Linked DNA regions of Diceros bicornis minor. The protein of the gene in region 2 purifies or fractionates together with the protein of the main gene of each other region. This does not show direct contact. Links are inferred from orthologs where the notes say so. Each region holds a gene or a part of one and is shown on either strand. Other genes may lie near its edges. The genes, in order: KPNA1, CDKN2AIP and XRN2.

Region 1 (9,473 bases), on a different chromosome or scaffold from region 2:
TTGAGCACTGTAGCAAAAGTTGGTCTTTTGAACTGATGTCAATTATTGGCCTAGGTCTGTCCTTGAGGGTGGGAGTGGGAGCCTTCCAGCAAGCTGGCTCCTGCTGGGCCTACAAGTCTTCAGAGAATGGGGCAGCTGTGAGTTATCAGCCAGCACTCACAGCAGGTAGGGGAATGAGTGTACTGGCCAGATGAAGGGGATACATCTGGCCAGTACAGGTGGGGAAGAGTGACCAACTGTCCTGATTTGCCTGACCTTCTAGGCTTTAGCACTCAAATTCCCACATCCTGGGAAACCCTCCCAGGACATACAAAAAAATCCCTGTCTTCTGTGATGGATGTGGAAGGTTGAGGGAAAAGTACAAAAGCCATATGACAGCCACAAAAATAGGGACTGAAAGTGACACCGCTTTTAGTGTCAAATGGATATAGCATAGATTATTTGACTTCTATAGCCATTATCATTGTTTTTTTCCCCTGCCCCCTGATATTGGTAACCATGATGTGCAGTTCACAATAATGACCATCCATCGTTACGGCATTCTGAGTGATGTGACTTAAGTGTGCAATTTAAGTGTGTTGTAGTCATAAGCACTGGCAGTCCATCTTTGGATTTGCCTGTGGATTAACCATTGTGCCTTGTACAAGTTGAATTTTTTAACATTGTGAATATTGTGACCATGTTTTATAAGAGTGGAGATAATGAAAATGTGAATGATTATAATACCAACAGCAGCATGACCCAGACACCACAGCAAAAGAAAGCTTAATGACTGTAATGTTAATGACAGATGGTAGGACAAAATAACTGGCTTAGGAAGGTAAATAACAAAAACAGAGCATACTGTACAATATGGAGAGAATTTGGGATTGGGTATGGTAGACAAGAGGACGTAAAAGCACATATAGAGACTGAATCTTATACGTTTGGGATGAGATAGACAAGTACTTCAAAATCAATCAGAAGGTTTTGTTTCCCCAAAAGACCCAATGCTCAGTTGAACATAGTGGCTGCTGAATTATCGTGGGCATATCTCATGAACCAACATGCATTATTGTATTGTGCGTTTGATTGCTCTATGGAACCGAGTAAAGTTACATTTCCTAATTCAAAATAACGTTCCCCCTAGCTCTTAAGGTAATTTGACTTGAAAAATGGAGTTCTGTCTATCAAGATTTTGAGGAAACCACAAACACATAAAACAAATGGTGTTACATCTTGTCCAAAGACAAAGTAGACTTGGCTCATTTATTTGTTTTCTGTGCAAATGTTAATTTTGACAAATTCTATTCAGTTTCTAAACTTCTTAACAAAGAAAATGAAACAATCTCAACTGCTAAACACCTTATACACAGCGCTGCTAAAAGAGGGGTGTGGTTTGATTACCTGTGATCTGGAGGTTTTCATAATGTGTTTGGTCATTTCAGTTTCCTCAAAATGTGCAGAATCATTTAATGAAATTTTTGACTTGATAGAAATGGAAGGAGATAGCTTCCTTAAACATATGCCTGCAAGATGGCTATCATTGTTGCCAGCCACAGAAAAGATGTTAAAATGTTGGCCTGCCATAAAATCATATTTTCAAAGTGTGGAAGAAGAATAATGTCCTGCTCCAATTTGGAAATATGCTGAGGATGAGAATGGAGAGCATTGCAGTGAAACAGAAATAAACATGCTGGTTCTCCAAAACTGTCTGATAATCCTTGAAGAGGCCACAAAGAGTCTAGAGAAAGATAAACCAACTGCACCTGAGTTATTCAATGTTATATGTAGGTTGTGGCAGAAACTCCAACAAAAAAAAAAAAAGACTAACTTTTTAGAAATAAGACGGTTTTAGAACTGTAAAAAAATGTCCCTAGAAAAAGGCAAGCAAGTTAAACAGAATTGCCTGAATTTTTTTTACTAAAACTGTAAACTTATTTGGAATCTAACTTCAATTTTACAAGTTCAAATTTCCTCTGTGTTTTAAAATGATTTTCCTTGGGGAAGGGAGTTCTAACTTATGATAACATACAACGTGCTTTGCAGTGTTTTAAAAACGACTGGCATTTTAGATACGGAGAGCCTATATGGTTAATTTATAGATGCAAAGGACCTGATTGACAAACAGCTGGTTTACCAAAGCAAGTCTGTAGAAACCAAGTGGGTAGACATTTTGGAGAGCTGGAAAGGAATTCCTACAAGTTCAGAAACCTGCTGTGCTAGTAAATAAAATCCTAAGTTTTTTACGCTCAAACACTTTTGTTGAGAGAATATTTAGCTTGGTGTTATTTACCTCGACAACAGGAATCAATGCAATGCAGGCAGAAGAACAGAGCTGTAAGTCAAAATTAATTTTATACTTGACTATATTCAGTTTTATCATTATGTAAAAGAAAAGAAAGATGTCCTAAAGGCTCCAAGAAGTTCAGAGAAGTATTAATGGAAAAGGAAACTGAAAGAATAAAAATATCCCACTGTATCATAGCACAGAATGAAACATGTTATTTTTATTTAATATAGGTAATATCTGTTTAATTACTTCTATTGTATTTACATTCTCCTTTAAAAAATTCTTACATTTACATATCTTAAGAATATAGAATAATATAGTCTACAAAATTTAAATATGCAATAGAGTTAAAAAAAGAGTTAAATTGCTGTACCCAGACACAGAAAGAAACATAAAAATATTGTGTTATAAAAATAGTTACATTTTTCTCACACATATTATTTGCTTAATTAATCCTTCTACTAATTATTACTAGTTGCCACTTTTAGCTAGTCCTATTGCTATTTTGTTTAAGTAACAGCATTTATGCAACAGAAGAGAAATACAACATGTGTATAATTACTATATATTATTATTTTCACACCCATCAGACTGGCAAAAATAAAAAAAGTCAAATATTTCCAAACGTTTGCAAGGATGTTTAGAAAACAGAATCTTATACGTTGCTTGTGGAGTATAAACTGATACACTATTTCGCTTTGTCATATAACTCAGCAATATCTAGTATATTAGTTTTCTAATGCTATGTAAAAAATTACCAGAAACCTTGTGGCTTAAAACACATTTATTATCTCACAATTTCTGTGGGCCAGGAGTCCAGGCACAGCTTATCTGGTTTCTCTGCTCAGGGTCTCATAAAGCTGCAACCAAGGTATAAGTCAGTCTGTTTTCACACCTGGAGGCTTGACTGGGGAAGAGTCGGCTTCCAAGCTCTCTCAGGTTGTTGGCAGAACTCATTTCCTCGCAGTTGTAGGACTGAGGGGCCTGGCTTCTTACTGGCTGTCAGCTGGAGGCTGCACTCGGGTCCTAGAAGCCATCTGCAGTTCCCTGCCATGTGGCCCTCTCCATAGGCAGTTCACAACATGACGGTTCACTTCTTCAAGGCCAGCAGGAGAGTGTCTAGCTCTGGTCTGCTAAGATAGAGACATAAAGGGAAATGTAATAAAAGGAGTGACACCCCATCGTCTTTGCCATATTTTATTGACTCCAGAGGTAGGCATTATACAGGGCAACACCAGGGGCCAAAGATCATGGGGGCGATCTCAGAATTCTGCCTACCACATCTAGTAAAATTAAAGATGCAATGTCCTAGGATCTAGCAGTTTCCTTATACACATGAAGATACGTACAAGAATGTTCATAGCAGCATTGCTTGTAACAGAAAAACTATTGTTCTATAATTTTTAAATTTTTCAAAATACAAAAAGATATAGTCAGAGAGACATTAGCTAATAAAACACGATGTGTGGTATAACACTTTTGTCAAAGTAACATGTATATAGGAATTCTTCTCCAGCAACTGTTGTTGTCTTGAACAAATCCTACCGCCACTGAGAACAACTGGACAAAATATAAAAAACATTAAGGCATTAACGAGCTACCATGGCAGTGAGAACTTGTGGGTCCAAGATCTGGAAGAAAAGGGAAGCCATGAGAGGCGAGCCTGATGGTTGCCATCACTTTTCCACCGGAGGTGATTGCTAATTCTGAAAGCAGTGGCTGAAAAACCGAGGTCTCAGGATGTTGAGGAGGCCCAGCCATAGAGGAGAGGCCCTAGTAAATACTCCACACTTTTGGTTGGGACTCTCAAGGCCTACCCTCGCTAGGACTAAGGGTGAACTGGAAATAAACTAGCTTTCACAAAGACTTAAACTCTGAAGAAAGAGAGTCCAACTCTGAGTAATTTTAGCTTCTGATTGGGATAAAGTGATCTGTCCTCAATTTAGCTGTGGTCAGGCATACTTGCTCCTAAGTCCCCGCCTTAGAACACCTTCCCTTTCTCCAGCCCCTTTGCTCAAACTCACCTCTCACCCTAGTCAACACAACATCAGTGGGGAATACTGATGGAGCCGAAAGAGCTCCAGGACAAATGAACATGGCATAGCCCAGGATTCCGCTAGCGTGGTCCTCTCTCCCGCATTTATAAATGTATTACTCGACCTCCTCTCTTTCGCCTTGCTTCCTGGTGGGTGTTTTAAATCAATCTGATATCCCATGTCACTCGTGAGACTTTCTATTCCCCGACCTTTGCTTGGCTGGCTTCGGTCTTTCTTCTTTTGAAGCCACTGCTCAAAAAGAAATTCCCCAAAAAGAATTTTTTCAAACTTAGCAGTAACAATGATTTGCCCCAAGTCTTCGTTTGAGAGCATTTAGTGAGAGTTAAAGCAAGTATTTGCGTTTCACTTAATTTCTTAGTGATTTCTGATGCTCCTCATACATTATCAGGCAAAGGGGATGGGAGAGAACTAAAAGAAGGAATACCCAGAAGCTTCCTCAAACGTGCTGCATGTGAATGCCTTAGACATGAGGCGCCGACTTTTAAGACGTTTGTAATACTCCCTCAGCCTTCCTTCGTTTCACCATTCATTCAGCAAACGTGGCTTAAATATCAACCAAGTTAGAGGCTAGCTATAGATAGAGGCGAGAGAAGATCCGTCGGCCCTGGAAGAGCTTCGAAGACAGGTTTGTAGACATAACTTTGCAATTTAACCTAAGAAGTACCGTTTCACTGTCACTCCACCACGATTCTCCGACCTCGGCCATTGACTGCGAACCTCCTCCTCAGCGGGACCTGCTCCCTGACCTCCGACTCCGCACAGACTCGAGGCTAACCTCAAGGCTTCTAGAGGACGACGGTTGGGAGACTACGCCTCCCGGCAGCCTCTGCAGCAGGGTGGTGGAGGGGCGCGCGCAGGCGCCTGGGCCGGTCCCCGCGCGCAGGCGCCCTGCGAACGCCGGCTGAGCTGGGTCTGGCTGCTGGGTGCGCGGCGGCGAGAGTGAGGCCTGGAGAGCACCGCCGCGGCGCGGGTCGGCTCTTCGAGGTTGTGCGCGGGAGGGGTACGGCGGGCAGACGAGCGAGCAAGCGGCTCCCCCCAGCAGAGGCACCGGGATCGGTTGCCTTGACCCTGGTGAGTGCGGGGGCCCCGCGGCCCGGCCCCTCCCCCTCCCTCCGGCGGCTCGGTAGTCCTCGGCGGGACCCGGGAGAGGCCCCGGGGCAAGGGCGGGCGCCGGGGGCGCTCCAGCTCGGGTACCTGGGCCGGGGCGCCCACGGCGCGTCCGTGCGTCACGGGCCCAGCTGTCCTAACGGCCGCGCGGCCAGCGGAGGGGAAGGTGGGGGCGGGGAGCGCCTGTGCGAGGGCCATAGCGAGCGCCGGTCGAGGCGGGGCGGGGCGGCGGCGGGGTTGGACGCGGCGCCGGGGACTGCGGGGCGCCGAGGCAGCGGGGCGGAGAGGAGGCGAGCGCGGAGCCTGCGCCGCGGCCCGGCGCGAGCGGGCGGGGGTGGGCAGCGCGGAGCGCCGTGACTGGGGCAGGGAAGAGCAGGGGGGGCGTGTAAGAATCCTGACCGAGGCGGGAAGGGACCACCTTGGGAATTCACAAGTTGCGGCCCGAGTCCGAGCCGGGGGCTGGGGGGGGCGGGGTGGAGACGGACGACTGCAGTTTACAGATGTCATAACAACATGGGCCCGAAGCGGCTGACGGGGTGTGGTAATTATAGGAATGACAGAACTTCGTCTGCACACAGCGTGTGTAAGTGGTGATGCGAGGGGAACAGCGAAGTATTAGATGAAGCTCAAAATGGGAGGAGAAAACTGGAGGATGACTGGAGTCCGGGAGGTCGGCACGAAGGAGTGTTTTAGGTTTGAATGGGAGTGTTTAATGTTCCACGTTTAAGTGAAAGATTTCAAAATAATTGATTTTCAAGGTTTACATTCAGAATAAGCAATTTTGAAGTGTTTTTTCTAAAACATGCTATTAAATAATATTACTGACTTTTTCAGTATTTTTTTTCCTTTAATAAACAGTTTCTTCACAACTCCTATTTCTTAGCAGTAGATGAGTAAGTGGTTTTTTTCCCCGCTCTTGTTTCAACGCTGACTCTTGACGTTGTTTTTTCCTTAACTTGTTCTTGTATTTGTAATATTTTGAAAGTAATCCACGTTATTCCCCCTTCATTTTAAAGATTGAAGAGATGAAAGTGATTATGAAATCGATTATATTTTTACTGAAATAATTTATTCTTGAAAGGCACTGTTTTATGTGTAATGTGTGATTTTAAGATGGAGGACGTGAGAGAAAGTAAACGAATTAACATTTATTGAGCTCCTTTCCAGGTATTGTGCTCAATACTTGACGTATATTAAAACATTTAATGCTGACAGTAACTCGGAAGTAGATGTTAATTTTTCCTGTTCTACAGATGAAAACTTTCAAGGTCAGAGAAGTAACTTACCTGAGGTCATCCAGCCCTTGTTGGAACCAGCCTTCGAACCCAAAGTCACTGCCATTCTAAGAATGATTTCTCCTCTCCTTTTATATTTCTTGATGGTGTTTTCTTTCTTTAATCCACTCGTTCAATGAACAATTATGGAGTGATCATGTGCCCTGAGACTGGGGATATGGACGTGATCAAGACACTGTTCCTGTCCTCATGGAATTTATAGTGTAGGGGGAGACTAACAAAGAAAATAAATATTGACTGCATGACATTTTATCAGTCATTATGTTTGTTTATTGAGCAGAAACTATAAAGTACTAAGTAGCAAAGGAAGTTAAAATGGAATCAGACAACATAAGCCTTGAGGAGTTTACAATCTAGTAGGGAAACAAAACATACATTTATAAAAAGCTAGAATAAACTAAATGACCGACATAAATGCCTCACCTGAAGTCACTGTACTGCATTATGTTACTTTAGGTCCTCACAGAAGTTTCTCCACAGAACTAGGATTTAATATTGCACCTTGACTTTTTTTTAATTTTTATTTTTTGTTTATTGCAGTAACATTGGTTTATAACATTGTATAAATTTCAGGTGTACATCATTATACTTATATTTCTGCATAGATTACATCATGTTCACCACCCAAATACTAATTACAACCCATCACCACACACATGTGCCAAATTATCCCTTTCGCCCTCCTCCCTCCCCCCTTCCCCTCTGGTAACCACCAATCCAATCTCTGTCTCTATGTTTGTTTATTGTTGTTATTAGCTACTACTTAATGAGGGAGATCATATGGTATTGGACCTTCTCCCTCTGACTTATTTCACTTTGCATAATACCCTCAATGTGCATCCATGTTGTCACAAATGGCTGGATTTCATCGTTTCTTATGGCTGAGTAGTATTCCATTGTGTATATATACCACATCTTCCTTATCCATTCGTCCCTTGATGGGCACTTAGGTTGCTTCCAAGTCTTGGCTACTGTGAATAACGCGGCAGTGAACACAGGGGTGCATGTATCTTTACGCATTGGTGTTTTCAAGTTCTTTGGATAAATACCCAGCAGTGGAATAGCTGGATCATATGGTAGTTCTATCCTTAATTTTTTGAGGAATCTCCATACTGTTTTCCATAGTGGCTGCACCAGTTTGCACTCCCACCAGCAGTGTATGAGTTCCCTTCTCTCCACATCCTCTCCAACACTTGTTGTTTCCTGTCTTGTTAATTATAGCCATTCTGACAGGCATGAGGTGATATCTCATTGTAGTTTTGATTGGCATTTCTCTGATAGTTAACGATGTTGAGCATCTTTTCATGTGCCTGTTGGCCATTGCACCTTGACTTTTATCTAGGATTGGTACATAGGAAAAGGCAACATGAAAAAAAATCTTCATTGCTACCCAAGACACTGTTTCTTATTTATCGATTCTTAATAAAGTAGAGACTCTAGAGACAGATTCTTTTTAAGACCCCATGATAGCCTTTTTCTTTTTTTTTTAAACAAATGACTGCTTTTATTAGATCTTTTGTGTTTTGTAAGCTATCTTGTTTCTCTTTACACTTTGGCTGACAGGAGGCTCAGAGCTGTGTCCAATTTTTGTAATTTTCCTTAGCCTCACCTATGTTATAAATTATACCAGGTAGTCTGGGATTGCTCTCAGTTGTTTCCTGGACTATTTTCTTTGTTCTCTGTTGCTCTTGATGTTGTTTTTACCTTTTCCCTTTCATTTGAGAGTAGAGATTATATCTTATTCTTTTTATCTCCAGTGTTTTAGCATAGTGTTTGTTGAGTTAATGATAAAGTCTTGATTTATGATGTTTGTGTGCTTAAGCCTGTCAGATTGTTTTTAGAAGTATATGTGAATACTTTGTATAAAATTAATTAAGACTTTTGGCCATGTAAATAAAGATGACTGTCCTAGTGATAGAGATAATTCCCTATTGCTCTCTTTGTTTTAAGATCTCTGTACTTTGCAGAGTATTATGAATTCAGCCATAATAATGGAAGAAAAGATGGGAAACGGTAAACAATTAAATTAGCTGATTGGGGCTGATTTCACTCTATTATTGCTGCCGTAAGCAGGAGGTGGCCCCAGGCCATGGGGGGACGGGGGAGAGGTGAGGGGCACATAGGGCGTTAGCAGATTTTGAGGTCCTGCAGTGAAAGAGCACGGATGAAGGCTGATGGAAAGGTAGGTTTTTTTTTTTGTTTTTTTTTTTTTAAAGATGTTATGACCCTACAAAACAGAGCTAAGTGGTAAAATGGTTCTGACCTACTGTAGTAGACTAACTGGGACAGTTCTTGAAAGCAGGCAATAATCCAGAATGTGGATAAGGGGGATAATCTCCTTCACGTAACAAGAATAATGCTGGCCTTCATGTACAAAGATAAGTCTGCTTACTCATCATCATTGATTTTCCAGCATGAGGAGGGATATGTGCTGAGTTGTCCGTGAGTCGCTGTACTCTGTGACCAGCAAGGCAGCTTGGGGTCAGAAGGAGTTTGTAGCTAGGGAACAGAAAGACAAGCAAAAGGCACTGACATCTATTGATGGGTCAAGCACTACATCAGGTGCTTTAATTTAATTATCCTTGCAAAACCACCTTGAGGAGGTGGTTACAAGTGCAGGGTGGTTAGGTAACTTGCCCTGCTTCACAGACTGAGTGGTGGAGCTGGGATTCAAATACAGGGCTATTTGTACTATGTTCACCTCAGTTGTTAAAAGCCTGCTTTTATCTGGGTTTGCAGTTC
Region 2 (10,414 bases):
AAACACAATCTTAAGGTCCCCTGCTTCTATAACTTTCCATGATTCTGAAGAGCCAGTATTAAGTTTGCTACCTTATGGGAACTGGAACTGTACTTCTCCAAATACTAACTTTGATCTGTATCCGTATCTCTTTCTTAGATTTACTCCACATTCTGGGATAAGGCACAGGTCAAGAGTTTCACAAAGAGATGGGAAATTACACATAATAATACTTTATCTTGTCGGCATTAGGAGGAACATGAAGGCTAAAAAGATGGAATTGTTTTCAGGATGGCTCTGTATAAAAGTGTATAAAGAAATATAAGAATTGCTATCAAAAGATTTGATCACTTTGGCTAAGATGTGGAGGAAAGTAAGTCATCCTGATAACAGGGCCTCCCATAGGAGCATTGTCTTGTGTCACTTGAAACTGCTTACTATCATCTTTTCTTTAAAATCTTTTCTGGTATTTGCTGATCCTTCTGTTCGTATTGATGTCATCTCCATTTCCTTGAGTGTAAATTCTTTGTTTTATTGAGTTTGTTATTTCCCTTGCATGATATTGACCCTACACAGATGTTTTATTATTCTTCGGGTAGGCACATGACACAGACCTGTACAATTACAATATTTCACACCCCTGGCTAGAGTGTTTATTTAAGGGATATATATATATGACCCAACAGAACCAATGGCTTCCCAGCAGAACCTCAGGACATTGGCAGAAACTATCAAGCAAGATAAGTTCTCTTTCTACTGCGGCTGCCAAGCTATGGAGGATGTATATGCCATAGGCTGCTGGGAACCATCTTGCCCCTATGTAAGAAGAGCTTGCCCAAGTTTGAAGCTAACACAGAGAAAGCAAAGTCTAGAGATGAAGAGAAACAGACTTTCTGATTATATTATTTGAGTACCTGGAGCCCACAGTCTACTCCCTGGGCTGTTATATACAACACAGCCAATAAATTCCCTTTTTGTTTAAGCAGAAGCAATTTTAAGTCACAATTTTTTGTTACTTGCAACTGAAATTAATCAAAATAGAATTTGTGAACCTGCAGAGAAAGTCCATAGTTCTTTACTTCTTCACATCGCTAGATGCCCAAAGGGCCTTTATAAAATTGAAGTAATTGCTACACCACAGGAAAAGATGGTAAAGCGGAATCACATCATATCTGACTTTCATTTACATGCTGATTTTAGAAACTACCCCCCATGAAAGATGTAACGTCACAATCTTATTTCTCACAGCAGCAAACAAATTTATTGACATTTATTAATGTTAAGGCTTAATGTAAAAATGAAAAGACACAAACCCTGCAGGTAAGCAGGAATAATTCAGAATTCTCCACCTGCTGCCAATCCCCACTAGGGATTAGATTTTCTCTTAAAGCCAGATTTTTTGAATGTCCAAATATGTGCCATATGGTTTCTCCTCCAGAATCTTCTTACATGATGTGGGAATCAAGAGCTAACTGTCTAAAGATGATAGTATAATTAAAGATTAAAGAATTTAAAAATTAAGTGTAATAATCTTAAAGATTAAGTATAATATTTAAATTTATGAAAGGTGGCCAACAGCAGAACAATAAAAATATAACTAACAAAAATTGGGAGACAGAAGGGGTAGTGTAAGTAATATGGATTTATCATCTTTCACATTCAGGAGTGAAATAAGTACTGCTTAAAGTTGAAAAATCAAGAAATAGAAACATAAGCCTATATTTTGGAGTTACAAAAATAACCACCCAAAGAAACAAAGAGAGAAATTGACATTAATCTGATATATGCAGAGTGGGACCAGGCACAACAGGGGAGGGAGATTTTTACTGTCATTTATGCCTTTTAATTCTCTTTAAACGTTTCATTTTTGTGTGCATGTGTAATTTATAATTTTTAAAAAATTGGCCAGAACTTAAACTATGTCTTTCCAAGACAGCTTGCTCTCCTGCAATCTAAAATGTCCATTTCAAGCAGTCTCTACTTCATCAAATGACCTCCATCTCAATTCCCCACCCCCAAACTTACAAACCTTTTTTTCCTTTTAAAATGCAGCAGATGTCTCTCTGTCTCCCTGACGTTAATCTCTCCACCTGTGTGTTGGATCCTAGCCCCTCTTGCTTCTTCAGAAATTATGTTACCCTCTTTTTCTTCAGTATCCTCAAACTCTCCCTCTATCAGCCCCTCCCACTCAGCAGATGCGCATGCTCAAGCTACTCCCATCTTCAATTTAAAAGCTGCCTGGACCCCATGACCCTGGTCTCCAGCTTCCTCTCTCTTATCTCCTTCACAGCCAAATGTCTCCATTTCCCACTCCTGAACTCACTCCTGTATGGAGTCTGCCGCCATCACTCCACCAAAACTACGTTTGCTAAATTTGCCAGTGGTTCCAATCTCCAAATCTGACCATTAAGACCAATATCCCTCTTACTTGATCTCTCCACAGCTTCTGACACAGGGGACCACTCTCTCCTTAAAACATTCTCTTCCTGGACTTTCAGGACACCACGTCTTATCACCACTGTGATTTGACTGACTTGGGACCTCATACACTCTTTTGTGTACACGTTTTCCCTTCACTGTGGACTGCTTCTCAAGTCAAGCCATAACCTTGGCCATGACATTGACTAGAGCATTTGCTCTCTGTGTCCCACATGCAGACCTTCACACCAAGTGCTTCCTTAGTCCTCTGCTTGCTGCTATGATCACCCTCAGGAGCCGGGGCCATGCCCTTTAGGGGAAGCCATCTGGCAGAGAGGCCAGGTTGCTGCTGGAACTGTTCTTTGGATTTCTTCAGAGACACAATGTAGCAGCAGTTTTAATGAACGTGCTTCCACTTGCGATGGAAAACTTAATCTTGTTAAATTAAGAGAATTCAGTCGCTTATGGCTTAAAACTCAGTTTGGGAGTGGTGGTGGATAGTTCTCGGTTGATTAGGATTCTCTCCCTGTCCTTCTCTGATCTGGTTTCTAGTGGCGGCAGTGGTGGGGGAAGAGGCTTCAGTATCATCCTAGCATCATCTCTGTAATTTATAATTCTGTGCCTTCTTCCCTGTGGGATCCACTGAGAGTGCACTGTTGGATCTCCCAGCACAAGTGCACAAGGGTCATTGCAGGAGAGCTGGAGGGCTCTCCTCTGTTGATTTGGCCCCACATGGATCTCAGGGGCCTGATGACTTGTTAAGAACTAGCTGCAGCCGCCTTTGCAAACCTGGGCTGTCCACCCCTCCAGCATCAGTCATATGGACCATGGTGCCTGGGAAGCACTTCAGCATTCCTCTAGGGCCTGTGAGAGACAAGGCGTGGGGGGGTGGCAGGGGAGGAAGGGAGTGGTAAAGTTGGTTATCAGAGCTATAAAGGGCCCTCTAGATGCTCTTTCCTACTCTTTTAAAGGCCAACCCAAGCTGGCTCAGGGCACTAAATGGGCTGTCTTCTCCCAAAGGTCCAGGCAGAGCCAACACTGCCCATCCCTACCCCCATTCCCACCCCCACTGATTTTCACCAAGTTCTCTTCTCACCTTTTCTTTCTAAATCCCTCCTCCAGGGCCAGCCCCGTGGCCTAGCGGTTGAGTGCTCACGCTCCACTGCTGGCGGCCTGGGTTTGGATCCCTGGCGCGCACCGTACAGATGCACCGCTTCTCCAGCCATGCTGAGGCGGGTCCCACATACTGCAACTACGACATGTAACTGTCTACTGGGGCTTTGGGGAAAAAAAAAGGACGAGGATTGGCAATAGATGTTAGCTCAGAGCTGGTCTTCCTCAGCAAAAAGAGGAGGATTAGCACGGATGTTAGCTCAGGGCTGATCTTCCTCACAAAAAAAAAATAAATAAATCCCTCCTCCAGCCCGGGAAGGAATTTGTCTCCTATGGAGAGAAGCCGTTTTTTTTTTTTAAATGTATGTTCTTCTTCTCAACTTTGTGGTTAGTACTCTATGGTTCTGAATCTTTACATGCAAAGCCAATTTCTTAAGAATCAAAAAGAAAAATACATGTATCTTTTCTGTCAAGCACCTGGCTCTTACAACTAAGAACTCCACCCTGAGACCATATTGCTTTTATTATAACTTTAAAAAATATTTTTGAAATTCAGGCTCTCTTTGCTCTCCCTTCAAGGCAATGAAGCCCGTGGTGGGAAGGCTACAGGGCAACCAGGAAAAAAGAGAAAATTCTTGGTTTAAAATGCACAAACATCATCTAGGTATGTAATCATAGATTCTTTTACTTGCTTATCTCCCTCTTGCTAAAGAATTCATGAAAGGAAAAAAACCATGAAATTTCTCCAGTCTTTTAAATTGCCAGATTTCTGCATCTTTTCAACCCTCTAAAGTTTCAGCAATTTTCAGTGAAAAGGAAGAAAAGGAAAACCAGAAGCAAAATTCCAAGCTTCAAAATTTCTTTGTGCCTATGTTTTTATGCAGATTCTTTTGGCATGGCAAGAAAGTGGACAATATCATTTCCATGTAATAGCTGAATTTTTTATTGTTTTCGCATGTATATAAATGACTTGGCTTATCTTTTTTGGCTAATCTTATCTAAGCGACCATTATTTTGTCTTTTTTTTTTTTGCTTGGTTAGTATGATTCAAGCATTTTAAAATCAAAATCTACATTTAGTGAAAGGAAAATTTCCTCTTGTAATTTATCATTACTATATATCACTCATTTTAACTTATTAAAATTTATTAATCTGAAAGTACACATATGCCTGAAATTGGAAAGATAACAAGCAAGCAAACCGGCAGTAATGCCGTTAAGTGTGGACATTCTAAAAGGGGGGAAAAATGCAAGGCAAAAAACAGCTCCAGGAGGGAAAGGTTTGGGGCGGGAGAGGCAAAGAGGCACTTTTCCACGCCGCCTGCTAGCTATTTGTGCAGTTGGGGGGTATTGGGATATTGTTACTTGAACGAAATACGACAGATACAGAACGTCCACGGCGCAGTCCTGTTATTGACCAAAAACGGCCGCGAGACGAGGCGGGCATCGCCCGGGATGAACTGCGGAAACGAAACCAACCCTGCGGGGCGAGGGTGAGTTTCAAAGACTGCACTCCCCAGGGCAACGGCGACCTGCATTAATCGTTTAGCTTTATGGTGACTGCTGTTTGAGTTCACATGCACCCCCGCATTCCTAAATGCCCCGCCATCCGGACGGCCTCGGAACGCTTCGCTTGTCCACATTCAGAAGCTGCTTTCTGAAAGAATCAAAACATGGAGGCGAGCTTTTGTTGATCTTGGCCCGGCTGAGAAGCAGCGTCTGCGGGCGGAGGCGCGCAGCCCCCGCATCCGCGCGGCGGCACGGTCTGCGGACGCGCGCGCCGCGGCCCAGGACTTTGGCGGGCTGCCCTCTGCTGCCCGCGCCGCCGCGGCCCGGGCGGGGCGGGCAGGCGGCGGGGGCGCGCGGCGTCACAAAGCCCCGCGGGAACGCGGGGGCCCCGCCGAGGCTCCAGGCGCCCCCGGCGAAGCCTCTGGCGTCCCGCTCCACCCCCCCGCGCGCGCGCCCGTTCCTCCGCCGCCCGGCGGGGCCGCCGCGCCGCAAAGCGTGCTGGGAGAGCCGGCTCGCGCCGGAAGGACGCGCGGGCGCTCGGCGGCGGCGAGGTTATAAAAGGGAAGGAGCCGGCGGCGGGCGGAAGTGGGCGGTTCGGGCTGCTCGGGGCGCTGTTGTCTGGCGTTTGAGCCTCCCGAGGGGCGTTCTCTGTCTGGCCGCCGGTGCAGGCCGCAGTGACAGGGCCGCGCGCCCCCGCGCCCCCGCTCCCTCCCGGTGCAGCGCCGGCTCGCGGCCGCCGCGGCCCGCAGGCCCAACATGGCGCAGGAGGTGGCGGAGTACCTGAGCCAGAACCCGCGGGTGGCCGCCTGGGTGGAGGCGCTGCGCTGCGAGGGCGAGACGGACAAACACTGGCGCCACCGCCGGGAGTTCCTGCTCCGCAACGCCGGCGACCTGGCCCCCGCGGGCGGCGCCGCCTCCGCGGCCCCGGAGGACGCGGCCGACGCCGAGAGCGGGACCCGCAAGCGGCAGCTGCAGCAGCTCATCTCCTTCTCCATGGCCTGGGCCAACCACGTCTTCCTCGGGTGCCGGTGAGTGGGGGCGCGCCCCCGAGCCGCCCTCCCCGTTTTGTCTGTCGCCCCCGGGCTGGGGCCCAGAGCCCTCGGCGGGGAGGGAAGTTGCGAAGCGCGGGAATCGGCGGGCCCGGCTGCCCTCTAAGCGCGAGAAGGGCGCCTCTGCCCGAAGCCGACATGATTTACAGTCTGGAGGTGGCCCTGATGGGTGGGGGCTGCTGGGCGAGCTGTTGGCTGACAACGCTCTTGTGGATGGACGCTGCATTTAAAAGTTGCCGAAGAGGGACCCCGCCTCCCAACCTTGGGGCGTTTGTTGATGGGCTTCCAGGAAACCGAAAGTTCCTGGCGGTTGGTGCACTTTTTGATTACAACCAGGAAATGCAGTTCCTGTAGCCGGTTTGTGCACACCAGCAGTAGTAGCTTAGAAAAAACACTATTTTTAAAGTGTCTACTCCTTCTTTTTCAGGTACCCTCAAAAAGTTATGGATAAAATACTTAGTATGGCTGAAGGCATCAAAGTGACAGATGCTCCAATCCATACAACAAGAGACGAACTGGTTGCCAAGGTGAAGAAAAGAGGGATATCGAGTAGCAATGGTTAGCAGATCATAGATGTGAACATACATAGGAGTTTAGAACATAAGTTTGATATAATTAGGAACTACTGTTACTACTAATTTTTTAATAAGCTAGAATTTATATAATGTTATTAATCAAGTTGGAACATTAAACCTAAATTATGTGTCTGTGTATTTTAGCCTCTGATTTTGATAGTTTTCTTTGATTGCTTTAGATTTTGAATTGTCAAATGTTGTCTATACTGTTTATTTTTTATTTTTTTTGTGAGGAAGATTAGCTCTGAGCTAACATCCAATGCTAATCCTCCTCTTTTTTTGCTGAGGAAGATTGGCCCTGGACTCACATCCATGCCCATCTTCCTCCACTTTATATGGGACGCCACCACAGCATGGTTTGAGAGTGGTGCCTTGGTCTGCGTCCAATGGGGAATCTGAACCTTTGAACCCCCGGGGTGGCTGAAGCAGAGCACGCCCACTTAACTGCTGTGCCACTGGGGCTGGCCCTGATTTCTTAATATTAGTAATTAATGATGTTATTCAATGCTGTTTTAAGAAATTAATTTGTTATTATACACTTTTTAAAGAAACTACTAGTCCTGAAATATTTCGCCTTGTGCCTTTATTTTAATGAATATTTGTCTTGTAAATTTTCAGCAGATGTGTATGAGGTAGGCTTAGTCACATATGTTTTCTTTCTTTTTAGAAGGGGTAGAAGAGCCATCGAAAAAACGAGTCATAGAAGGAAAAAACAATTCTGCAGTTGAGCAAGATCATGCAAAAGTTTCTGCCAAAACAGAACGTGCATCAGCTCAGCAGGAAGTCAGCTCAACGTGTACGGGGTCATCTGTGAAATCCGAGAGTAGTGGGAACTCAACTCGGAGCTCTGGTACCTCGAGTCAGAACAGCTCGACGAGTGATGGAGATCGGTCTGTTTCCAGCCAAAGCAGCAGCAGCCTTTTCTCTCAGGTAGCAGCGGCAGGGTCTGGAAAAGCTTCTGAACCCGAAGCTGCAGATAAACATGGTGCAGCGTCGCTTGTCTCTTCGTTGTTGAAATCCAGTGTGAATAGTCATATGACCCAGTCTACTGAATCCAGACAACAAAGTGGATCACCTGAAAAGAGTGCTTTGGAAGGCTCTTCAGTCTCAGCTTCTCAAAGCCTCTCAGAGATAGAGGTGCCCTTGTTGGGCTCCTCAGGAAGCTCAGAAGTAGAGTTGCCACTGTTGTCTTCTAAACCTAGTTCAGAGACAGCTTCAAGTGGGGTAACTGCCAAAACTAGTTCAGAGGCAAGTGTTTCATCATCCGTTTCTAAAAACAGTTCCTCATCAGGCACATCCTCGCTAACTCCCAAGAGCAGCACCTCAACACACACATCGCTGCTGACTTCCAAAAGCACTTCGCAGGTAGCTGCATCACTGTTAGCTTCCAAGAGCAGCTCCCAGGGCAGTGGGTCTCTGGTTTCCAAAAGTGCTTCCTTAGCGAGTGTGTCCCAGCTGGCTTCCAAGAGTAGTTCTCAGACTAGCACATCACAGTTGCCTTCTAAAAGTACTTCACAGTTAAGTGAGAGTTCTGTTAAATTCTCTTGTTGCAAGTTGACCAATGAAGATGTGAAACAGAAGCAACCTTTTTTCAACAGACTGTATAAAACGGTGGCGTGGAAGCTGGTAGCTGTTGGTGGCTTTAGTCCCAATGTGAATCACGGAGAGCTCCTAAATGCAGCTATTGAGGCTCTGAAAGCAACACTGGATGTGTTTTTTGTCCCGCTAAAAGAACTGGCAGATCTGCCTCAAAATAAGAGCTCTCAAGAAAGTATTGTTTGTGAATTGAGGTGCAAGTCTGTGTATTTGGGCACTGGCTGTGGCAAAAGCAAAGAAAATGCAAAAGCAGTTGCATCCAGAGAAGCACTGAAGTTATTTCTCAAGAAAAAGGTGGTGGTAAAAATATGTAAAAGGAAATACAGAGGCAGTGAAATAGAAGATCTAGTACTCCTTGATGAAGAGTCAAGGCCTGTAAACTTACCTCCGGCGTTAAAACATCCTCAAGAATTACTATAATATGTCCAAAATATCACTGCATACAGTATCTGGTATTTGACGACAAAAACTGGCTTACTTTTGTACAATATAAAACAGGCTTTCACAAATTTTGTATTGCTTTTTTCCAGTTTTGCAGAAAATTTACATTCTAGTTCTCTTCACACAATAGGAGTTGTAAATAATTTATGAATGACAGTACACATTAAAAAGTATGCATTAACGGCGTACCAGTATGCTGTTTTCGTTTGCTGAAGAAAATACTGTCTTCTATTTTTAATGATACATTAGGTACGATGTGTAGTTCTGTAGTCTTAAAACTTTTGTACTTTCAATTTGGTGAAAATGTATTGTCTACCATGCATTTTTTTTTTCTAGCTGAATAAACCTCCACATCCAAGAAAAGGGGACCATAGTATTTGAATGTCTGAAAGTTTGTGAAGCTTAAGGTTTTAAGAATGTTGCCCATAATGTTGAACGTGTCTCTTAAAGAATAAAAGAAAAAATAGTTGCCTCAGACTATTTTTATGAGAAGTTGTAAGCATTTTTTAGATATAAAGCAGTATAAAGTACTTAAGGTTATTTTATTCTGAAGTTGTTTAAAATTCACCATGATTTTGCTGCAGATTCTTTAAGTGGGTTAATTTATGTTTTGAGGTAAAATACAATTTACACTTTTTCTTAACATAAATGTGGGTTTCTATATTAAGCATATTTTGTGACTACTACTATTAACAGATTGATTTGTTTAGATATTAAATGCTTTAAGCTATTTTACCTTTTCAAGAAGTTGTGTTTTTTTTCCCCCCAAGTCAGAACCAATTACTGCAAATAGGCTTCCTACTACTAGCCACTGTAAACTGCAACCAGGTAATTTTTCATAGCTGATATACAACTTTTTATGGGTAGAGAAGTTACAGTTTGCAAATCTAGAACTAGATGGTTCTTTTGTTTACAAATCCCATAGAAGAATAACTGGGCAGACTAGAGAGCCAAGCTCAGCTCTTCAATGAGCCTGATCAATTGAATTAACATTTGTTAGTAATGAAATGGAATCCTCCTGTGTGTCTTAGGTGATTCTGACTGTATTACTCTATTGTGGTATATTCTGTTTCATTTTTCTTCAAACTCTGGCCCAAGATGTTTCGTTATTTTTGTGGCCTTCTGGCTTTCTAGATGCTGCACATTGAGCAGTACTGGTGATAATGTACAGAGAAAAATCAAGAAATGACCTTTTACATTACATGTTTTCATTTACATTTGTATTGGAATAGGAAAATTGAACACAAGTAGCACAATTTAAGTATGTAGAAGTTATTTCTATTTTTATATTCTGGAAATAATAGACAAGGATACTTGATATACTTGAAATCAAGAGTGGTTTTAATTTCACCAGGTAACCTTCAAAAGTGATTCATTTTTGAGGATGTTGAAGTGGATACCAAAGCTAAGTCCATCTTCTGTCAATGGGTTGCCTTTATATGTTGTGAGAACCAATAACAAAGCACTTGAATTACCTCACTTTCGGAATGTGTATTTTGCAGGACAGTGTTGCCAGAAAAGTGAGCTGAATATTAGAAAGAACAATAAATTTCTGTAATGTATCTAATTAAGTGGTTTGGTAATTTCCTAAATTGGCTTATTTCAAGTTAAAGTTTATTGAAAATATTTTAAATTATAGTAGCCTTTTGATATGTTTGAATTTGAGGAAGCTGCTTAGTGTAAAAACAAACACTTTAATTTGTAAACATTTATTTGCTACAATCTTATTAAAAGC
Region 3 (10,053 bases), on a different chromosome or scaffold from region 2:
CTACTCAGATGAAACGGACAAAACCTGTGAAAGTTAAAAATTACAACAGCTCATTCAAAAAGAAATAGATAATCTGAATAGCTCTACATCTACTAAAGAAATTGAATTTGTAGACAAAAGCCTTCCCCCAAAACTTCAGGCCCAGAAAGCTTCACTGGTGAATTCTACCAAATATTTAAGCAAGAAATAACACCAATTCTAGACACACTCTTCCAGAAAACTGGGGAGGGTATATACCGCGCAGCTCAATCTGAGGCCAAGGTTACTCAAAAACTAAAACTAGACAAAGACATTTCAAGAACACTACAGACAAATATCCTTTTTGAACATAAACGTAAAAATGTAAATGAAGAAATCTTTAGCAAATTGAATCCAACAGTATATAAAAATAATATACCATGACCAAGTGGGATTTACCCAAGGAATGCAAGGCGAGTTTAACATTTCAAAATCAATGTAATTCATATTAAAAAACTAAAAACAGAAACCATGGGATGAATTAAAACTATAAAACATCTCTAAGAAAACACAAGAGAGAATCTTAGCGACCTTGGCTTTGGCAAAGATTGTTAAATACAATACAAAGAGTGGAAATATAAAAAAATATATATAAAACAGACTTCATTAAAATTAAAAACGTCTGTTCTTTGCACTGGTAAGAAGTAAAAAGGTAAGCCACAGAGTAGGAGAAAATATCTGCAAAAGACATATCAACTCGTAAGAAACTCTACAATTCAATAAGACAAACAACCCAACTTAAAAATGAGCAAAAGATCTGAATAGACACCTTGCTCAAGAAGATATACAGCACGCAAATAAGCACCTGAAAAGATGGTCAACATCATCTGTCATCAGGCAAATGAAAATTAAAACGACAACGAGATAACACTAGACTAGAACGGCTAAAACTAAAAAAGACTAACCAGACTAAGTGCTGGAGAGGGAGTGGAGCAACTAGAACCTGCACACATGCTGGCGGCAATGTAAAATCGTACAACCACTTTGGAAAACAGCTTGGCAAATTTTTAAATAATCACACACCTACCACGCAATTCAACCATTTCACTCCTGAGTATTTTCTCTAAAGAAATGAAAGCACATGTCCACACAAAGACTTGTACACCAATGTTCACAGAAGTTTTTTTGTTTAATCGCCCAAAACTGGAAACAAACCAAATGTTCCTTAATCAGGTGAAGGAACAAACAAAATGTGATACATGCACAACATAGACTACTACTCAAAAATAACAAGAAATGAACTATTGATATATGTAAGAACATGGGCGAATTTCAAAATAATTATTCTGAATGAAAGTAACTGAGCCAGGTAAAACAAAGAGTACATATTATATAATTCCATGTATATAAAATTGTAGAAAATGAAAACTTATCTACAGAGTCAGAAATAAATCAGTGGTTGACTAACGACGGGCAGCACAGAGTTGTAGGGAGGAATAACAAAGGGCCAGAAGGAATGTTTTAGAGGTGACGCTCATTATCTTGATTATGGTGATGGTTTCATGGATGTGCACATATCTCAAAATGTATTAAACTGTACACTTTAAATATGTGCAGTTTGTTGTAGGTCAATAATACCTCAATAAAGCTGCAAGAGGAGGAGGAGAGGAGGGGGAGAACAGAGAGACAAAAGAAAAATACATCAGTCTAGGAGGACCAGGATCCAGAGTTCAGAGAGGGCAGTGAAAAAGGAGGTCAGGAAACAATCAAGGAGCATTCCCTAGAACTGAAGAACACACGTCTTCAGCCTCAGAGTCAGCCAAGCACCAATCAAAATAAACTTAAATTTTAAAAAAATCTATACCTAAGTACATAATCATGAACACTTACACTACCAAGGATAAAGATCTTGAAAAGATTCAGAAAGAAAAATAGATCAACTACAAAAGAATGAAAGCAGAACACAGAAATTAAGAGCATGGCCTTCCTGATTTTGACAATGGCTCTGCCGTGTATTAGCCAAGTGACCCTGAGTACATTACTTAACCCCTCTGTGCTTCAGTTTTCTCATCTGTAATAATAATAATAGTAAGTAGTAGTAGTCATGTGGTTGTTATGAGAATTTAATAAATTAATCTATAAAGTGCCTAGAACAGTGCCTGGTATGTGTTAAATACTACATAAGTATCGGTTAAATAAATAAATCACATTAACATTCAACTTCTCATCAAAGGGCTGGCCTGGTGGTGCAACCAGTTAAGTGCGCGCACTCCGCTGCGGCGGCCCAGGGTTCGCCGGTTTGGATCCCGGGCGGGCACCGACGCACCGCCTGGCAAGCCATGCTGTGGCAACGTCCCATATAAAGTGGAGGAAGATTGGCACGGATGTTAGCCCAGGGCCAGTCTTCCTTAGCAAAAAGGGGAGGATTGGCAGATGTTAGCTCAGGGCCGATCTTCCTCACAAAAAAAAACTCATCAAAAATACTGGATGACATAAGTCAAAAGAACAGCACTTTCAAAGATTTGAGGGAAACTAATTTGCAAACTCAAACTTGATGCCTAGCTAATGATCACTCATGTGTACAAGGGTAGAACAGAATCAGAAAACTCACACCCTGCACAGCATTTCTTAAGAATTCAATTGAGAATAAAAACCAAGGAAGGATTTAGGCCAAGAAAGATGATCAGAAAATAGTACCCTCAACTGAAGAAAGGAATTTTTAAAAATCTCAGGAAGCAGCTTTCCAGCAAGCCTAAAGAACCAGGTGTGACAACAACAGAAATAAAGACCTCAAGAAGGAGTCTCCAAGAAGAGGACTTGATAGAACACCTAATAAAACAGCGAGTTTGGATGTGGAACCGTATAAAGAGGAAAACAGAAAGATAACACCAAGAAAAAGACAAAAGTAGCACAAGAAAAGAAACAGTATCACAGCATAACTTGAATCTGGAAAGTGACAATAATTTACAATACTATTTGATTTTTCAGCTTTTAAAACAATCCTATATATAGCCAAAGCCGTGACAATTTAGTTTGGGATGCCAACAAAGCAAAAGTACAGCTGGCAAGCTTGGCGTGAAGAGTAAGAGCAGCAGAGGTAGAAAACTTATAGAAAAGCTAATACCTAACCTTAGAAAGTGAGAAGTCAAGGGATACTTTAAATAGAAGATGTAATAAAAAAGACACATTACTCAAAGTTATAAAGCTTACCAAGAGATGAAATAAAGACAGCGATTTACTATTAGGAATGGGGCGGGGGAGCCGCATAAGTGACGAAATCCTCTTCTATCATAGCTAGAATTCAACAGATAGATCCAAAACCAATAAATCAGGCATAATCATGATATCTAGAGACAGAACCAAAACAGTTAAAAATGGTTATCTCTACAGAGTAGAAACGGGATGAGATGCAAGTAAAGTTTGATGGAAGTTTTAAAAACAAAGGAAACCAGCATTCAGTTTAACAGCTTCTCTTTGGGAAAAACACAAGGAATACTGAAACTGCCGTCAAAACAAGGCTTTCGGTTCCTCCTGGATAGAAGCTAAGTAAAAATCAAGATCTCACCAACCTCAGCAAAAGAATGCAGTTCACTGTGACTGACGGGCACTTCCTTCAAAAACGAAGGGGCGAGGGGCATGAAGCGCCGCTGAACCTTCCCAATCCGGAAATTCTAAGCACAAAATCGAACTCGGACGGGATCACGGGAACGATAAAGAGAAAACTCAATAATGGCCAGAAGTCTACATATACATTAACAAACAAACAACAAGTATTTAAGTGCATCCAGGAATTCTGAAAATTTCAACAAGCATTCTGTCCAGCAGTCGGGGCACCTAGAGAAGGGGGCACTTATGAGACTTCTATCTCGTCCTAGACGTTTCTAAGATGCTGCTTTCACCGTAGGATCTAAAACAGCAACAAAAGTCCTTTCGCACCAGGAGAAAACCTTTCGAGCACGGGCAGTAAACAACAGAAAGCTCGCCGCGGGGGGTTACTTTACAAGGTTGTAAGAGGCTGGAATCAACATGTGCGCCTCGCTACCCAGGTAACTCAGCGGACCAGGCGTGTGCAGCCCAACACCTTCGAGCCTGTTCTGAAACCCAAAATGCGCTGTGCCGAGAGGAAACAAAGCCGTGGGCGGGGCCTTCCGGGCCGGAAAAAGCGGGCAGGGGAGGAGCAGCCCTCCAGCGAGCACAGACCCCGCTCGGCCCTCGCCCCGCCGAGGCTGCTCTCCCAGGGCCCCGGAAACGAGTGTCGGCGACCAACCGCGTGTCGGGCCGCGGGCGCCCGCGGGGCCCACAGAGCAGCGCGGGCCCCGGACGGCACCCCGGGGACGGCCGGCGGGTCCCGAGGGCCGCGGCCCAGACGCGCTGGGGCTCCGGGCTTGCCGCCAGGCACCGCCTCACCTTCTCTTCCACGCAGTTGACAATGATGGACGGGTACTTGCGGCTGAGCCAGCGAAAGAAAGCCGGGACTCCCATAGCGGCGGCGCGGCCCCGGACGAACGAACGTAACCAGAGACAGGCGGGAGCGGCAGCCGCGGCACCGGGACTTCCTCCCACGTGCGCGCCGTCCGGGAAGTGATGTCACGGCGCCGCCGCCGGGGAAGCCGGGAAGGAGGCTCGGGGCCGGGCTGGTTGTGGGATTCGGGGTTCTGCGGCTGACCGGGTGGTGGGGGCTGCGGCTGGCCTCGCTTGCGGCGTTAGCTTTCAGTGGTGCCAGCCCTGAAGCCCGAGGTCGACCTCATGTGAGTCGCGGGGAATCCCGGGATGCGCCGGCGTCTTGCTTCCCCAGCCCTCGGGTTCCACTGGGGCGGGATCCCCGTGCTCCGCAGGCGCCCGGGGAGGTCTTCCTTGCCGGTTTGATCACCTCCTTTTTCTCACCCATCTCAATTCAGAGTAGAATCAAAGCGTCTAAACACACTCATTATTTCTATGGCCTGGTTTCTCCCGGTTTTGTGCCACAGTACGTACTTGGACTATGAAAAGGAATATTTTTAGGTATTTTACACGAATGATGGCTGGTTTGCGTAACTCCCTTTAGTTATAAAAGGGGATCTAGCCGGCATTTAGCATCTAATTCAACCTTCCAGCTACATTTATGAGTATAAAATAATTGCTGGTATCACTCTCCAGCATTTGAGTGCTTACCACGTACTAAAGCTTTGGCTAAGGGATTATCTCATTTAATTGTCACGTGAACCTTCTGAGAGTGTTAACATATTATCATCTTCATGTAACAGATGAGAAAGCCAAGCTGTAAAGGGGTTAAGTTACTTGCTTATCGGGCCGGCCCCGTGGCTTAGCGGTTAAGCGCGTGCGCTCCGCGACTGGCGGCCTCGGTTCGGATCCCCGACGCCCACCGACGCGCCGCTTCTCCAGCCGTGCTGAGGCCGCGTCCCACATACAGCAACTAGAAGGATGTGCAGCTATGACATACAACTATCTACTGGGGCTTTGGGGGGAAAAAATAAATAAATGAAATTATGCTTGCTTATTCATACTGCTGTGTTTCAGTCCAAGTAAAGATCGTTTAATGCTGTCCTTACAGTAACAGGATGCTTTTATTCTTTATTTTCTGATGGCTTCAAATCCTTTTTTTAAGCATATACAAAGAGATCTGGAAGAAGAGATATTTATGTCCATTTGTTCAAGCCTGGAAGTGTTTCTCCATGGAATCCCCTCTTGGCTTGACAAATCACGCTCAGTCCTAAAGGCTCACCTCAAGAGGCCTCTATGAAAGTATTTCTCCGTGCTACCTGGTGTGCAAATATTTACTGCCCCTTCCTCTGTGGTCTGATGCCACTTTAAACTTCTTTAAACTGTTTAAACTGCTGGTGTGGAAATTAAGAGAAATGGTTAGCCCATATTTTACTTAAGGACAGCCAGAACTATTCCAGAGTATTATGTCTATTGTGAAGTCCCTCATTTCTTCTGGAAACAGGCCCTACTCATCAAGTATTTGGTTCCCCTAGGAGGTGCTGTGTTCTTGTAAGACCACACACAAGGTACGTGATTGAACAGCTGGGCAAATTGGGCCATTGAGAGTCCTTGCCCAGCATTTTTGAACTGAGAACCATAGGAAGGTAAGGCAGTCCCTCCCAGATAGCTGAAAGCTGAAAGAGAATGGGACTTGCTGCCAGTCCACAATGAGAGAAGCAGATTTAAGTCCCTGGTTCCAGTGGTTTTTGAGTACAGCTAAATCCCTCTTCCTGCAGCTTGGTTGGTAAACCTATTCTTTAATTCTATGAGCCAGTAAATTCTCCTTTTGTCCCAAGCTAGTTTGGGCTAAGTTCCCATCCCTTGCAAAGGAAAGAATCCAAACAAACCAGTAACAAAATTTGAGGAGTACACAGCTAATTCACCTGGGTGCTAGAATTGCTTTGCATAAAGGAGGTACAAAAATTGGAATTTTGGGCACTGAGAAAAGGGGAGGGTGAAAGTGGAAGTAGAGAAGAGAGGGAACCTGAAAGATGGCAGGAGGATATGGACTAAGTATTGTGAGATACCTTCCCCAGCCCAGTGTTTCTAATAAAGTCTACCAGACTCAGGCTCACTGTGGGGTTTGTGTTGTCGAATTTGAAAAAGAGTATGAGTCTCATGTCGGGGTCACTGTGGTGTACAGTCACAGGGCTGGGCAGCATAGCAGAGCTCAAGAAGCAGAAGAGGTGAGAATTTGTAAGCATTGGAAATTAGCAGGAATATTGAACCAGGCTTTGAACTTCTGTAGGATAGGAACCAGGAGGTTTTGAATCATTTTTGCCTAGACCTCAAGGGAGCAGGGGAGGCCTCCCAGCTGACATCTAGATTACATTAACGTGTAGACTATATAGAAACCAGAATGTGAACATTCATAAATTCATTTTAAAGCCTTGTTAACATTGTAATTATAGAAATGAATCTTTAAAAAATTTTGAAAAAACTATTGCTATCTGGATTATCAAGTGCTTCCTTTGCCTCATTATCTTTACAAAATTCATTGTGAATAACCTGATGTATTTAAAATAATAGTTGTGATAGTTAATTTTATGTGTCAACTTGACAGGGCCACAGAATGCCCCAATATTTGGTCAAATTTTATTCTGGGTGTTTTTGCAAGGGTGTTTTCCTATGAGATTAACATTCTAATTGGTAGAGTAAAGCAGATTGTCCTCCATAATGTGCATGGGCCTTATCCAGTCCATTGAAGGCCTGAACAGAACAAAAAGACCAGCCTCCCTAAGCAAAAGGGAATTCTCCAGCAGACTGCCTTCAGAATTCATCTGCACCATCTGCTTTCCTGGGACTCCAGGCTGCCAGCCTTTGGACTGGAACTACACCATCAGCTCTCCTGGGTTATCTAGCTCACACTGCAGATTTGGACTTGACAGTCTCCCTAATTGGGTGAGCCAATTTCTTATAATAAATCTCTTTATATATATATATATGTATACACACACATACATCCTATTGGTTCTCTTTCTCTGGAGAACCCTGACTAATACAGATTTTGGTACCAGGAATGGTTTGAGAGGAATAGAATCTTAAGAATGCATTTTCTGATTTGGTTCTGGGGCTTCTGGAATTGACTCTCTAATCTGATTAGATTTAAAGACACTGGGGACTATTTCCAGTAATAAAGAGAGCACTGATAGTACATGGTGTGATCTGGCAATAGAGATAGGCAAAATATCACCACTGGATATTCCTAATCAACCACTTATAAAAAGCAAGAATCTGGGTGACCATGTATATGATACTTCAAGCATTTTTGTCAAACTAACAAATATAGTGGGATTGGCTGGTTGCTCCTAACGTTGGTGGACAAAGTGGGGAGAGAAAAGGATGAACTCAGAGATTCAATTTCCCAGCTCAAGCACCACATAAATGACTTAAAAGAATCTATGTCTGCCCTGAAAGAAACCCTTATCCCCTGTAGCCACAGGGCTGAGATGGCTGAAAACCAAACTCAGAACCCTATCTACTATCTCAGAACTTTATCCTGGGAGTGAATTACAAAACAAATTGAATTCCCAGCCTCACTGATGTCTACTGATAAAGTGAGGGCAGTGTTTGGGAAGGAATGGATGGAATCCTAAAAGTTGGAATAAGGACATGTGGGAATACTGATGGAGCTGGGGGCATTGAGACCCTTAATTCTGATTAGTCTTGGACCACTTCCATCATGAAAGGGGCAGCATTTGTTCTTATTGGAACAGACACATGCTGGATACAAATTTGCCTTCCCTTCCCACAATGCTTCTGCCAAAACTGCCACCCGTGGACTAGAATGCCTTATCCACCATTATGGTATTCCAAAAAGCATTGCTTCTGATGAAAGAACTCTCTTCATAGCAATGAAGAACAGCAATGGGTCCATGCTCATGAAATTCACTAGTCTTGCTGTTTTCCCTACCATCCTGAAGCAGCTGGTAGGTAGAACAGTGGAATGGCCTGGTGAAGCCTCAGTTATACTGTCAGTTAGGGGGCAATGCCTTGCAGGGATGGGACAAGGTACTCCAGGAGGCTGTATATGCTCTAAAGCAGCATTCCATATATGGTACTATTTCTCCCATAGCCAAGATTCACAGGTCCAGGTATCAAGGGGTAGAAATAGGAGTGGCACCACTCACTATTACCCATAGTGACCCAGTGGCAAAATTTTTGCTTCCTGTTCCTGTAACCTTATACTCTGCGAACCTAGAGGTCTTAGTTCCAAAGGAAGGAATGCTTCCACCAGGAGACATGGTAATGATTCCACTGAACTGAAAGTTAAGACTGGCACCTGGCCATTTTAAGTTCAACAGGCAGAGAGGGAGTTACTGTGTTGGCTGGGGTGATTGACCTTGACTACCAAGAGGAAATTGGACTGCTACTCCACAAAGGAGGTAAGGAAGGGTATGTCTGGAATATAGGAGATCTCTTGGGGAATCTCTTAGTATTACCATGCCCTGTGATTAAAGTCAATGGAGGGCCGGCCCCATGGCTTAGCGGTTAAGTGCACACGCTCTGCTATTGGCGGCCCAGGTTCGGATCCCGGGCACGCACCAATGCACTGCTTGTCCAGCCATACTGAGGCAGCGTCCCACATACAGCTATGTATGTGGCTACAACTAGAAGAATGTGTGACTATGACATACAGCTATCTACTGGGGCTTTGGGGGAAAAAAAAAGGAGGAGGATTGGCAATAGATGTTAGCTCAGAGCCGGTCTTCCTCAGCAAAAAGAGGAGGATTAGCATGGATGTTAGCTCAGGGCTGATCTTCCTCACAAAAAAAATTAATAAATAAAGTCAATGGAAAACTACAGCCACCCAATTTAGGCAGGACTACTAATGGCCTAGACCCTTCAGGAATGAAGGTTTGTGTCACCCCACCAAGTAAAGAACCAAGACTAACTGAGGTGCTTGAAGAAGGCAAAGGAAATTTGAAATGGGTAGTGGAAGAAGGTAGTTATGAATATCAACTATGGCCATGTGACCAATTATAGAAATGAGAACTGTAATTGTCATGAGTATTTCCTCCTTATTTTGTTATGAATATGTTTGTGTGTGTGTATAAAGCAAATACCTTTGTTTTCTTTCTTCACTTATTCTCTTATCATGTAACATAAAATGTATTGACTATCACGATATTTAAGTATTGTTAATTTTACATAGTAGTATTTAAGTTACGGGGTATCAAGGAGAAGAGTAAACATCATTTAAGGACTTTGCATCTTCTTCTGGTTAAAGAGTTAGTAAGTTTTTGGTTGTACACAAGATAGTTGTTAGGAGAAGTATGAGCTTGTTATTGTCTTTATTTGAAGATGCATATGGGTGCCAGGTTGACAAGGGGTCGACTTGTGATGGTTAATTTTATGTGTCAACTTGAATGGGCTTGGGAGTGCCCAGTTAAACAGTATTCTTGGTAATTCTGCAAGGGTGTTTTCAGATGAAATTAAGATTTTAATTGGTAAAGCAGATTACCCTCATCCAACTGGTTGAAGGCCTGAATAGAACAAAAAGACCAGCCTTCTCAAGCAAGAGGGAATTCTCCAGCAGACTGCTTTCAGAATTCATTTGCACCACTGGCTTGGGATCTGTCTCTCGAGTTGACCGGCCCACACCAGATTTGG

The links.
Region 1: the proteins of CDKN2AIP (region 2) and KPNA1 purify together in Homo sapiens (co-immunoprecipitation; 4 studies listed by BioGRID and IntAct, with this or other methods). This does not show direct contact. The link is inferred for Diceros bicornis minor from reciprocal best matches to the Homo sapiens genes CDKN2AIP and KPNA1.
Region 3: the proteins of CDKN2AIP (region 2) and XRN2 purify together in Homo sapiens (affinity purification with mass spectrometry; 4 studies listed by BioGRID and IntAct, with this or other methods). This does not show direct contact. The link is inferred for Diceros bicornis minor from reciprocal best matches to the Homo sapiens genes CDKN2AIP and XRN2.

Annotation. Positions count from the first base shown.
Region 1 is NC_080754.1:23,341,175-23,350,647, reverse strand, and holds the start of KPNA1 (importin subunit alpha-5), read left to right. Parts: upstream 1-5,250; 5' UTR 5,251-5,400; intron 5,401-9,473. UniProt on the Homo sapiens protein: Functions in nuclear protein import as an adapter protein for nuclear receptor KPNB1. Binds specifically and directly to substrates containing either a simple or bipartite NLS motif.
Region 2 is NC_080768.1:15,320,371-15,330,784, forward strand, and holds CDKN2AIP (CDKN2A-interacting protein), read left to right. Parts: upstream 1-5,711; 5' UTR 5,712-5,774; coding exon 5,775-6,046; intron 6,047-6,494; coding exon 6,495-6,625; intron 6,626-7,309; coding exon 7,310-8,658; 3' UTR 8,659-9,419; downstream 9,420-10,414. UniProt on the Homo sapiens protein: Regulates DNA damage response in a dose-dependent manner through a number of signaling pathways involved in cell proliferation, apoptosis and senescence.
Region 3 is NC_080758.1:47,784,331-47,794,383, reverse strand, and holds the start of XRN2 (5'-3' exoribonuclease 2), read right to left. Parts: upstream 4,483-10,053; 5' UTR 4,441-4,482; coding exon 4,366-4,440; intron 3,923-4,365; exon of another isoform or gene 3,597-3,922; coding exon of another isoform or gene 3,528-3,596; intron 1-3,527. UniProt on the Homo sapiens protein: Possesses 5'->3' exoribonuclease activity. May promote the termination of transcription by RNA polymerase II.